2 linked regions of the Arabidopsis thaliana genome follow. The protein of the gene in region 2 interacts with the protein of the main gene of each other region in a pairwise test. Each region holds a gene or a part of one and is shown on either strand. Other genes may lie near its edges.

The links.
Region 1: the proteins of SEP3 (region 2) and SEU interact in a two-hybrid assay, tested with the Arabidopsis thaliana proteins (one study listed by BioGRID).

Annotation. Positions count from the first base shown.
Region 1 is NC_003070.9:16,615,165-16,622,689, reverse strand, and holds SEU (SEUSS transcriptional co-regulator), read right to left. Parts: upstream 5,703-7,525; 5' UTR 5,198-5,702; intron 5,079-5,197; 5' UTR 4,819-5,078; coding exon 3,853-4,818; intron 3,769-3,852; coding exon 3,649-3,768; intron 3,497-3,648; coding exon 3,448-3,496; intron 3,359-3,447; coding exon 3,144-3,358; intron 3,057-3,143; coding exon 2,988-3,056; intron 2,745-2,987; coding exon 2,647-2,744; intron 2,552-2,646; coding exon 2,458-2,551; intron 2,262-2,457; coding exon 2,192-2,261; intron 2,047-2,191; coding exon 1,094-2,046; 3' UTR 641-1,093; downstream 1-640. Other genes in the region: AT1G43860 (sequence-specific DNA binding transcription factor), read left to right, coding at 1-446. UniProt on the Arabidopsis thaliana protein: DNA-binding adapter subunit of the SEU-LUG transcriptional corepressor of the C class floral homeotic gene AGAMOUS during the early stages of floral meristem development.
Region 2 is NC_003070.9:8,592,992-8,597,872, forward strand, and holds SEP3 (K-box region and MADS-box transcription factor family protein), read right to left. Parts: upstream 3,108-4,881; 5' UTR 2,872-3,107; coding exon 2,687-2,871; intron 1,901-2,686; coding exon 1,816-1,900; intron 1,707-1,815; coding exon 1,639-1,706; intron 1,555-1,638; coding exon 1,455-1,554; intron 1,377-1,454; coding exon 1,335-1,376; intron 1,252-1,334; coding exon 1,210-1,251; intron 1,125-1,209; coding exon 982-1,124; intron 890-981; coding exon 799-889; 3' UTR 585-798; downstream 1-584. UniProt on the Arabidopsis thaliana protein: Probable transcription factor active in inflorescence development and floral organogenesis.

The sequences.
Region 1 (7,525 bases), 8.0 Mb from region 2:
GTGATTCCCATGTGAGGAGTATCCAGGGAAGACTAGAAATACTCGCTGTATCAGTTCATGCAGAAGGTGACACAAGCATGGATCATTACGATGAGCATGATGATATGGCATTGCAAACCCACAAGCCGTTGTTACCTGCTGAGACTGAGACTAAGGATTTGACCGATCCCGTCGTTGAACTTAGCAAGAAACTGCAGAAGCAAGAGATAAGTACTACAGATAACATAAAGCAAGAAGGTGGAGAAGAAAAGAAGGGGACCAAGTGCAGCACTTGCAACACGTTCGTTGGAGAGGCTAAGCAATACAGAGAGCACTGTAAGAGTGATTGGCACAAACACAACCTTAAGCGTAAGACTCGGAAACTCCCTCCTATTAGTGCTGACGAATGCATGTCTGAGATTGACATGGACGACTCTAGAGCAGATTTGAAAGACTACTCTTTCTGAAACTACAATTTTCTCCTTTTGTGCTTTTAATTTTGTCAATGTGTTAAATCTCGTAGTCATATGTGAGTATGAATACACAAAACTTGTGGAATGAAATTTTGCGCAAACTTTAAGAGTAAAAACTTGTGTTTAAGAGACAAGCTTGGATATTTGGTATTTGATTAATAACTGTGACCAAACAATAGACATCGTACGGCTTGTGGTATTTCATTGCACTAACAACAAAAAATCATGACCGATCAGCATCGTTCAAGAGCATTGCACATATTTAACGTTGTGGTCAGAATTTAGGGAAGTTTGGTTAACACATGGAAGAGACCAGAGAGATAAATGAAGGATAGAGCTTGATTCATTGCCTCCCTGATGATGTGCCCTAAGGAACACACACCGATAGAAAGATGTACATTATAAACTATAAAGCATAAGAAAAACTCCCCAAAGTAAAAAAAGAAACAGTAACTCAAGAGATGGTATTGGTGATTGTGGAGGTGACCTAGAAACCAGTTATTGATACAAAGATTTGACTCTTCCTTTCTTAAGCACAATATCACGGCTTATTGGCCTATCCTTATCCTGAGTTTGAAGATGTGTGATGCTGCGCAAGCAGAACATTACCCTTTCAGTGTCTCTTCTTCCTCTTCTTCATTTCACGCGTTCCAATCAAAATTGTTGAAACCATTCACTGCTCCTAAAAGTTGGTTTCCTAAATCCTGTTGACCGTTTGGATCCCGCACCATCATCCCAACTCTTCCGTTCATGAGACTATTGTTACCGTTTATATTATTGATTCCGTTTGCTGCCATGGATTGACCAATCCCACCACCAAACCCACCAGCACCTCCAATATTTGTGTTGTTGTTGTTGTTCACTTGGCCATTCATCAGTAAAACACCAGAACTATTTACATTAGCTTGACCCTTCCCATCATTCCCGAAAGACCCATGCCCAACCATGCTTCCTCCTGAGCTATTATTATGAGCTTGGTTGTTCATCAGGATTTCATTCAGTATCTTCTGCACCGAGCTAGACTCGTTTCCATCAACCTCACCTGCCTGTTGCATTGCTGGTGAGTTTGTGGAACCCATGTGATTAACAGATGGTATCCCGTTTTGAGAGGGATTATTGTTATTAGATGAGGATGTTGGAGACTGAAATGTTGGCAGGTTGTGTTGTTGCTGCGATGATGATGGCACCATGGTACCCGAGGAACTAGGTGATTGCATCTGAACAGAGTTTCCTCCATAGGGGCTGTTTGGAGGATTGTAAGCAGCATTCTGATGTCTTCCCTTCATTGAATTCTGGTGGATGAGCCCTGCGATGCTGCTGGTGGAAGTGGATGCAGAGGCTGCATTAAAGGCATAATTTACACCATTGCTTGGATTACCCTGCATTAGTGCAACTTGCCTACTACTTTGATCACTGTTTGTATTCTGGGAAACTGTTTGCTGCTGCTGCTGTTGTTGTTGTTGTTGTTGTTGCTGTTGCTGCTGCTGCTGTTGTTGTTGCTGCTGCTGCCTAAGCTGGTCGCTGGCTTGCTGAGGAGAAGGACCAGGCAGTGCAGATGAAGGGCCTGTTCTCCGAGGAAACTTGGCTAAACTCTCTGTACCAAAGAAAGAAAACATGACATCAGTCAAATCACCGGAGAATATGTACAATGAAGTTCTGATATAATACATGAACGAAAAGAGTAGGTGCTTCAAGATTAAAAATACCAAATGCATTAAAAGGTGGTCACATAAACTTACCGATTGGTCCTGTTCGTGTTTCTCTGCTATAATCTATCAGGTCCTTCATACTATTTACCACCTCTGAGATCTACAATATTGCAAAATATCAATGTGCATTGGCAAACATGGTCACAGGGACAGACTAAATACAAAGATTGATTAAGTTTATTTCATTTTTATGTATTATCCTTTTCAAAGCTGCATTTTCATTGATGGCAAGAATCTTAAGTTTTAAGCAAGATTGTAGAGTTCACTTGATCCATATTGAGACATTAGTTATTTACCTGCAAACACCGAACATATCTCTTTGTGTATCCCAAATCATTCACAAGTGGTACTTCCAGGGCCTTTGCCAATTGTCTAGCAGATGCAACAAACCTGCAGACCAGTTGCAGCACATCAGAGATCACCAATCAAAAGTCGAATAACAGGATTTGTTACATCAATTTCACAGCGAAAGAGAGGAAGTTTACATATTGCAATTATTTTGTAGCTCCGGAAGAGCAGAATCTGTTGTTGCATTTTGAGCAGCTTGTTGATATTTCTGAGCTGCCGATCCAAGCTGACTAACCTGTATGTGAATACAAAAATAGCTAATTTACCTAAGCTGTTTTCACTGATTTAGATGTGTAATATTCTACTCCTATTGAAATTTGGAAACCACAAAAGATGAAAGGTAAAGTGACGATTTCGCAAAGAAAAGCAGACTAGAATAATATTAAGACAGCATATCCAATTTTGTGACAAAAGGAAAGGCCGCATCTCCAAAATAACTATATGTCAGAGCAATATGGTGAATCTTTCTGGAAGTTACCTGCGGTATCAAAAGTCTTCGTGGAATAAGCTCTTCATGCCGCCGAGCACAAAATTCCCAGGAGAATATCTGAGAAGGAACTTACAAGAATAAAGGGCTTGGAGAGAAAGTAATAGTATAATAATTTGCTGCGAAAGATAGAGTAGCTTGAAGAACCTTAAGATCTGGCGAGAAGACTATTCGAAGTTGGCCATCACGAACAACCCGAAGATGCTCAAAGACACTCTCTTGTGTTGCTTTTGCATACTCCAGGACAATTTGGCCAGATGAATTCTGGGACTCCCTTGGCATATCTACATATAACAGTTCTTCTAACGTCCCACTCTCATACTTAATCTTAAACAGCCGCGGAAGGACTTCGGCGGTTGCCTCTAAACAATGAAAGAGACAAAGCAGTAAGGAAGGAATATTTGATAAGATGTACAGGAAATTGTCTGCACTGATCATCTAAATAACATACCAAAACCACGTCCAGGCTTTCGGTTACATATCTCACAGTGCCACACATCCTGCAATGTTTGTGGAATAAAAATACTCATGTAAAGAGGTATAACATGAAACAAGTACGTAATTTATCCAGAATAACTGGCTCAGGTGCAAAAGACAAGCTCCTTTACAATTGTATTACAAACAAGATAAGTTCATTGAGCAGTAAACCAACCTGAGGGAAAACGCCTGTTGTTTGCCTGCCACTGCCATACATAGAGACGCACCATCTCTTTTTGGCATTAGGAGCAAAGTACTCAGCTACAAATTTTCTCCAGAACTCGATATTATTGTCCTGCATTTAATAGCAAGCACAAATGTCAATTATGAAGAAAAGCCATAGGCTGAAAGAAGTTAAATTTATGGTAAGAAGCTTTACTTCAGGCCTATGTTGTTGTCTGTACATATACTGTGTAAGACGCTGAGCACCCATGCCAGGTTCATACACTGGTTTCAGAGGTGGCCTTAGAGGTAAATTCTGCTGTTGGAACTGCTGTGGTAATTGAGGACGCTGTTGAGGCATAGATTTCAAGAGTTGCTGTTGTTGAAGTTGCATAAGTCTCTGCTGCTGAAATATGTTCATTTGAGCCTGCGGAGATTGCCCCGGCATTTGAAGAAATTGTTGTTGTTGTTGTTGCTGTTGTTGCCTCTGCTGTTGTTGGAGAAACAATGACTGCTCAGAATGTTGAGGTTCCATTTTCACTTGGGCCAAATTTCTCATGGCCTGAATTTGCTGCGGTTCCAACTTAACTGACCCTAGGTTTCTCAACATTTTCTGTTGCTGCTGTTGTACTTGACCATGCTGCTGATCATTCGAAACCTGACCAGGCTCCATCTTAACAGGTCCCACACCTGCTAATCCACCACCACGCACTGTCGAAAACTGCTGCTGCATTGACTGCTGCTGACCATGTTGAAAACTCTGCGTCTCCATTTTCTTATTCCGTTGTTGCTCAGCCAACAACTGGTTAGCCGAAACATTCGAAAACTGCTGACCCTGAACTTGACCTGATGAGCGCGGAGACACCATACTCGACGCATTAAAAGACGACAAACCACTAAACCCGACGTTAGACATCGGGTCAGACTCAGCACCACTTGTATCCATAGAAATCATAGAACCAGGGATACCATTTACAAAAGACTGATTATTGAGAAGAGAAGATATATTTGGAGCATTCCCAAGCATACTCATACTCATATTGTTACCAAACTGAGTACGCGGAGAGACAAGTGAAGGAAATGCTGGTTGAGAAGGAAGAGGAGCTCCTCCTTGTCCTCCTAATATCGAAGGCGGAACATTTTCACCACCCCCAACAGGATTAGGCGGCTCTGATGGTACCATACTCTTACTAATTCACAACTCCACAATCAACAAAGAAAGCAAGAAACAAAACTGACGACTTTATAAAACTCAGCTCTGTGTAGGAGCAAAGACGTATTCTTTCTGAGCAATGATAAGCTTCAGAGTCGTAAACACCACGGAAAGAGATGAATCTGAGTGATGAGATTCCGTATCGAACATTCTAGAACCAAACAACACTGTCTGTTGATTACTTACAGATCTAAATTAAGCAAATCTACTCCATTTCCAACTCTCACCACCTTAACAAAACAAAAGCATAATGTTAAGAACAAACCCAGAAAGAAAAAAACGAAACTTTGATCAAACCCTAATTGAGAAAAAAAACAGAGATTACTAGTGAGAATCTATAGAAACTTACCCAGAGGTGGAATTGAAGAATAAGTCTCTGATAAGACTCAAAACAAAGAGAATCGAACAAAAAGGAAGAGACTTTACACAACTAAAAATCTGAAAACTTCCGATGAACAAAATCTTGAAGAAATTTGAAGTCTTTTAGGGTTTTTTATTGATGGGTTTGGGGATAAAGAGACGAGAAGACAAAGAGAAACAAAAAGAAGTAGAAACAAATTTTCTCTGCCGCCTAGAAATTGTAGTTTCTGGGTTTTATTAAAAATTATACCTTTTTAAGCTTCACAGAGTAATTTGTGTCCTGTTCTTCGCTGTAGAGAGAGAGAGAGAAGAGAGAAAGAAGAAGATGAGAAGAGAGAGAATAGTGTCCTTGCGGACGTCAAAATTGTATTCGATCGGATTTATTTCATTCCCTTTCTTACTTTTTCTTTTTCAGTCTCTCTCTCTCTTCTTCTTCTTCTTCAAAGGAAGTCAATGACATGCCCTAGAAATGTTTTTTTTTTGTAATCACAATCTGGATTTTTTTTTTTTGTTAGCCACAAACATTTTTCTCTTTATTTTATTGGTTTTAGTGTTAAATTGTTATTTTTCCATTCAGAATACTATCACTTTTAAATACCTTAAGAAAAGTTTGATTTAGAAAGATATCAAAAGTTTAATATACACATCAATAGTGTTTTTTCTTAGAATGTAAAGTTTGGTTTAAAAGAACATAATGGAAATGACACTATTTTTATTTGTTTTTAGTTCTAAATTTGATATAGAAATTTTTCTTTCTTTTTTTGGTTTTAGTTTTAAATTTGATATAGAAATATATCAATATTTAATATATTACTACATTAATAGTGGTTTTTCTGTTTAAAGTTTATTTAAATGTGTAAATTTGGTTTGAGAGAGAGAATGGAAAACAAGACTATTTTTAAGAAAAAATATAATTATGGAACGACAACATAAAATTAATTTGAAAGCGGATTTATGTATGAGATTAAACAACTCGAGTTTGATCTTCATCCCTTGCTTAGATGATTTTTTTTTCCCATTCCCCTTATATATTCTTTTTCGTCTCAACTTTCTATCTTTTTTCTTTTGTTCAAGTTTTCTTAATTATTTTTGTCTACGCTTTTTAGATAATAAAAACTGCTTCTTATTTTCTTTATTTTATTGTCTACATGGTTTCATTACATAGAAGCTGAACTATAATAATCATGATGGTATTTTAAAGTTATAAAGCAAAGAAAATAAATATTATATACAAATGAAACTCCACAAGGAATTCTCACGGTTTAGAGTATTTGCATATTCATTTGTTTAATAAACCGTTTTCTATTAATATTAGAAAATATATAAAAAAAATAATTCAGTTTTTTAGTCTGATGTGTTGCAGATCATTTTCTAACATAAATATATTTAAAAGAAAAAATCAGACATGAGAGCATATATATGAACCATTGCTGAATATAAATCTTAAATACCTCATTTTTTCTGAACCTAATAATGCATGTAACCAATTTTAAGTCAAAAGCATTTTTTTGTGTGTTAAAATGTTAAATTTATTAGTCAACAAAAAGAAAAAATATGTATAAAGAGTTGAGAGAGTGCTTCACCCGGTTTAACAACACCACAAACCAAATAGCTTTTATATTGATTTAAATTACAATCACTAATGGTTAAAAAAACAGACTCATATATAGCCAAAGATATTGGTATTGCAAGAACTTCTCCTGCCATTGGAAACATGGTTGAATATTTTGATCTATTTATTTTTACTACCTTAAAACATGGTTGAGTATATCTGACTCGTCTTTTTGATATGTTTCCAACTCATTTACAGAAAGAAGATTGTAGACTTAAACTGGTCTATCAAACACTATACTCAAATTATCTCTACAAAATATTTATCAGCAAATTATTATTTCTCACACTTTAGATTACCTTATCCACGTATAAGTTTAAAGCTAAACAATGCAAATATCATTATATGAAAATGATCAAATATTTTAGCCACTATCAATATTTTATTGGCTTTTTCTATATCTTCTCAATATCTATCAAATTTGGATGTCATTGCATAAATCATATCTCTCAAATCTTACGTTAAACCCTAAATACCATACTTGATTGTTGTATATCTCATTGTAGTAACTATTTGATGTTACTTTATAGAAGAAGAGAATGTTAACATATGATTTAAAGGTTTTTTACTATATGACGCGGTATGTTCTAATCAATTGTTATTGAAGGTGACTTGTTTGATTAGAATAACTTTTTAAAAAATCTGTCGTCTTACAATTTATATCCATATATCATGTCAAATGCAAATTAATAATTCCACTTATTA
Region 2 (4,881 bases):
AACTTCAAGCTTGTGCAACGACATTAATCTTTTTTTCTCTGTATATGACCATTAAGAGCCATTACTATACATCAAGAGGCACCATGTTTTTGTTTGTTCTCTTGGCCTTGGTCATGGAATATAAGCATTAACAACCTTAGTAATAGAAAAGCATTCTACTCTTGATCAAACAAACTCAAAATTCAAGAAACGCTTCCTTAGATCGTAACTCTAATCGTCGGGTGAATTCACATTTCAATTGAGATCTTAAACCTATGTTTAAGGTATCTGATAAACTTGTCTATCAAATCTTCATGATAATTGAGAATATCAACTACCTGCAAGATATATTAGAACCAAATTTATCTTCTTCTCTATAGTAATACTCCCTCTACAAAAGTATAGATATAGCCAAAATGATATAGGTGGGGCCTACAGATACATAAGCAGTGGCCAGTGAGTTGCTCTTTAACAAGAGAGATAAACAAGCGGTCCCTTCTCAAGACTCAAACAAAAAAACACCAAATAGATAGTGTGAGACTGTGAGTTATATCGTACCATAAATCATAGTTAAGAGAATTGGTTAGATAACATGCATAAAATGGGAGTTATTTTAAAAGAAACTGGATCAGGAAGTTTAGGAGTAATGGGTAAAAATAGGAAGCAAAATTGTCGAAAAAATTATTGAATAATAGAAGGGCATAAACATTACACACACACATGCACACAAGACAGAAAACATGAGAGAGGTAATAAAATAGAAACATCATCTTAAAAATGTCAAAAAAAAAAGAGAGGGATTGATTAAGTGAGAAAGATTCAAATAGAGTTGGTGTCATAAGGTAACCAACCCAACATGTAATTATTCACACTTGGTCCTGCTCCCATTCCATCTTGTTGCCCCTGATACCTGCTCCATAAAATTTAGTAGTTTGAGATACTTTCTTAAGAAAAGCTTATAATAGAACTCAAATCAAATTGGTTATACTAGTCTAAAGTTACCCGATCTGAAGAATGGGTTCACATTCCAAAGGCTGGAAGAAAGCTTGGGAGTGTTGTTGTTGTTGATGATGATGACGACCGTAGTGATCAACCTCTTCTTGGTTAGGGTTCAGCTGGAGTGGCATCTGATACCCATCAGCTAACTGTCACATATGTATATACACACACACATTATAACCAAATTTAGTGATGCATTAATTTGGTGATATGAGAATGTATATTAATTACCCTTAGTCTTAGAGTTTTATTTGTCTCAGTCAGCATGCGTTCCTGCTCCAAATATTTGTGTTTTCTTGGTTACATTACTTTTAGATGAGGAATTTAGAGAGGAGAATGAGTGTTTCTTTATTTACCTTACTCTGAAGATCGTTGAGCTGGTCAAGCATAAACTGTGTCTGCAGAATTAAACACCAAATTTAATCTTACTATGGAAATAGATCAGTGTATAAAGATATTGATGAACAAAGTAGTACCCTGAGAGCTCTGATCTGCTTCAAGGAAGAATCAAGCTGTCTCTCAAGTGACTCAAGCTCCTTTGTACTTAGAGGTCCAAGATCTTCTCCCAACAGATTCCTATTTCAACATCAAAACCATCAAAAAAATCTACTAAAAAAACAAACACTCTCTGAAGGTAGCTGAAGAAGCTAATTAGTTTACCTTTGGGTTCTCTGTAAGGCGTCATAACGCTCCTTAAGCTTGAGATACTCCTGCTGGCTACTAAGTTCCTGAAGTATATGACAAATTATAACATTAATCATTTGACTCTAAAAATCAAAGTAAAAATTGAGAGTAATTAATTAAGGTAATTAGAAGAAAGAGAAGAGAATTGGGTACAACTGCTAAGGCCTCTCTTGAAGGCACATTGGGTTCTGGTGCTCCATAGTTACACTTTTGGTACCTCTCCAGTGTCCGAAGCATGCTTCACACCACACAAAAACATCATTTCTTCCATTAATCTTACTCATCAAGTTCAAAACATGTTTTTAAAAATGGGATTTTTAACTGTTTCCTAGGGTTTACAACAAAATCTGTTAGTCTTTTAAGAGAAGATCTAAAGAACCCAGAAAAAAGGATGAATCCCATCCCCAAGTATACATATCCAACGGACTTTAGATGAATTTGACATTAGCGTCAATTCAAAACCCAAAATTGGAAACCCCTAAGGGTTACTAAAATGGATTGTCGTGGAAACAATATCCCCCTATGAACTTATATCAATCTGACAACAAAATTGAGTGATTTGATCGAATTGGACGACCCCCAGAATCAAAAGGTGGAAACTTTAAGCTTATGTGAATTAAAGAGTACTCACAAGAGAAATTAACCCTAATTTCATATCAGATAGATTGTTCTTCTCTCAGATAATGTGAATTAAGTAGACAAACAAATAAGCAATAAAATATAAGAAAAAAAACTTTGATAGATGTAAAGAGAAATAGAAAAAAAATCAAAAACAAAAATGGAAATCAAAGAGAAACACAAAAGAACATCAAAAAAGCAAACTTGTTATAAAATGATACAGATTTGGGGTATCCCAAATTTTTTTTCCTCTTTGCTTCTTTTAAAAGGATATGATAGAACACGTACGTACGACACAACAACACATCACAGAGAGACCCATACATACAAGACATTTTTGTGTTACTTAATATGTATATAAAATGTTTATGTTATAAGTAATATATATACAAAAGTAGATATATACCTCGAACTACTGCAAAACTCGTACAGCTTTCCTCTATTTGAGAAGATGATGAGAGCAACTTCTGCATCACATAGAACTGAAAGCTCGTATGCTTTCTTCAAAAGACCATTCCTTCTCTTTGCAAACGTCACTTGCCTATTGATCTTGTTCTCTATCCTCTTCAATTCTACTCTCCCTCTTCCCATTTTCTTTTTCTTTCTCCTCTCCCAAAAGATATCTCAATCTCTCTCTCTCTCTTTCCTTGCAAGCAATTCTATATATATATGAGCCTCTCTCTTTCTTTCTTTCTTTCTTTCTTTTTTTCTTTATATTTTTTTTATCTATCTTATATTGCTTTTTAAAGTGTACATATACATTTGTACAAATCTCACAACACTTCTCTCAAAGTACATATAAACATGTCAGCTTCATTACTTGAAATATTCTCTTTCTAATATACTCTCAGACTCAACTATATACCCTCCAATTATTGTGTACCAAAGACCCTCATAGGATTTATTCAAATATTGCAAAATTGAAAGAAAAAATGTTAATTACCCTATCCATGCTTAGATATTTTCAAACCTAAAAATTTGGTGCATTTTTGTGTTTATACATAATTAGTAAAGGAGAGAAATTAGAGTTCCACTCTCACCAACACTTTATTCTAGCTAGTGGTTTAATTTTTCAATTTCAGTCCATATTTAGTTTAGAGAAAAATGTGATTCTGCCAAGAAAGTTTGATGCTTTTTTACTTAGTTCATCGAATTATAGAGATTAATAATTGAAAATCCTACAAAAAACCCTAACATTTAAAACCATTTTTATTTAATACGTTGAGAGAGACAGAGATATTAAAATCGTATGATTCGTAAGAGTGTGATGTTGAAAATGAGAGATTAATAATGGAAGGTGGAGATGGCGCGTGTGCGATGAGTGATTGCAACCCTAAACAGAAAATAGTAGGGCAATGAATGAGTTTGGACACGTGTCGACATCTCGATGGTAGGGTCTGATAAATCCACCTGATTTTTTTATATAAAAAATTTTGATTTTATAAATTTTTCTTTTTTACTTATAAAATCGAGTTCAGGGAATCATGTGACCTAACCTTAACTAGGTGAAGCCTCGTACGATTTTCCCAACTTACGGAACTACCCTTGTGATTGGTTAAAAATGTAAAGTAAAACACTACTCGTTTGTGATGTTTTCATGATATCTAAAACTCTTACTGCTAGTTTTGATAAATCTTACTGCTAGATTTGCTTTTCCTTTTCCAATCTATAGTACTGCTAAGATTATTTTTGTTAGTGAAATTAACAGAAATGTCTTTTGTATTAGTCTACTTTATAAACCACCATTTTGATGTGGCCAAAAAAAAAACCATGTTGATAAATTCAGTTTGGTAAGAGAGTCTGATGAGACACAAAAAAAATTATGGGAAAGAAAGAAAACATAAATGGATAAAATAAACAGAGATTTGAATATAAGATATAGTTTATTTTGGTTATCTTAGGGTTCGTCCGATGTTAGAGATCATGTCTGACCGAAAGTCTTAGTGCTTTTTGGTTGCAGACGTAATTGCTTTATTCTGACCGGTAAGTAGGTGATGGACACAAAGGTATGATTCAATTAGAAAAACTAAACATAGCATTATTATTCTGTTTGGTTATATTTAAACCCATTAGCTTCTTTTCTCTTTTGATTTGCACATTGAATCGCTTATTAATCTCACTTGGTCATGGTCTCATAGAAGCATTTTAAGCAAATTTGCACGAGTTTTATATATTGTCTTCATGTGGGACTCAAGATTTATGATATTTTAATTTGCTTCAATTGGTTTTAGATAAAATAAAATTAAATATGGTTATATAATTATAAGTTACAATCAAAATTAGTTAGAAGGACGTATGAGAAGAAAGGGAAGGGCAAGTACGAATTCACTTGTTATCAGATCTGGTCGTATAATTCAATGTAAGATGATGACAATTGATCGAGATGATGTGCATTAAACCAAAAGAGAAACTAAAGTACATTCAACTATTTATTTATTGATGTCATACCAATGAAGTTAAAAACATATATCTTCTATCTTTTCCTTCTCTTTTTGTACTCTTTCCTTCGTTTTGTGATCCCCCAAAAATTTTCAAATCTTCCCCATTGATAATATATGTGGTGAATTACAAGGTATGAGACCAACAATGATATATACTATA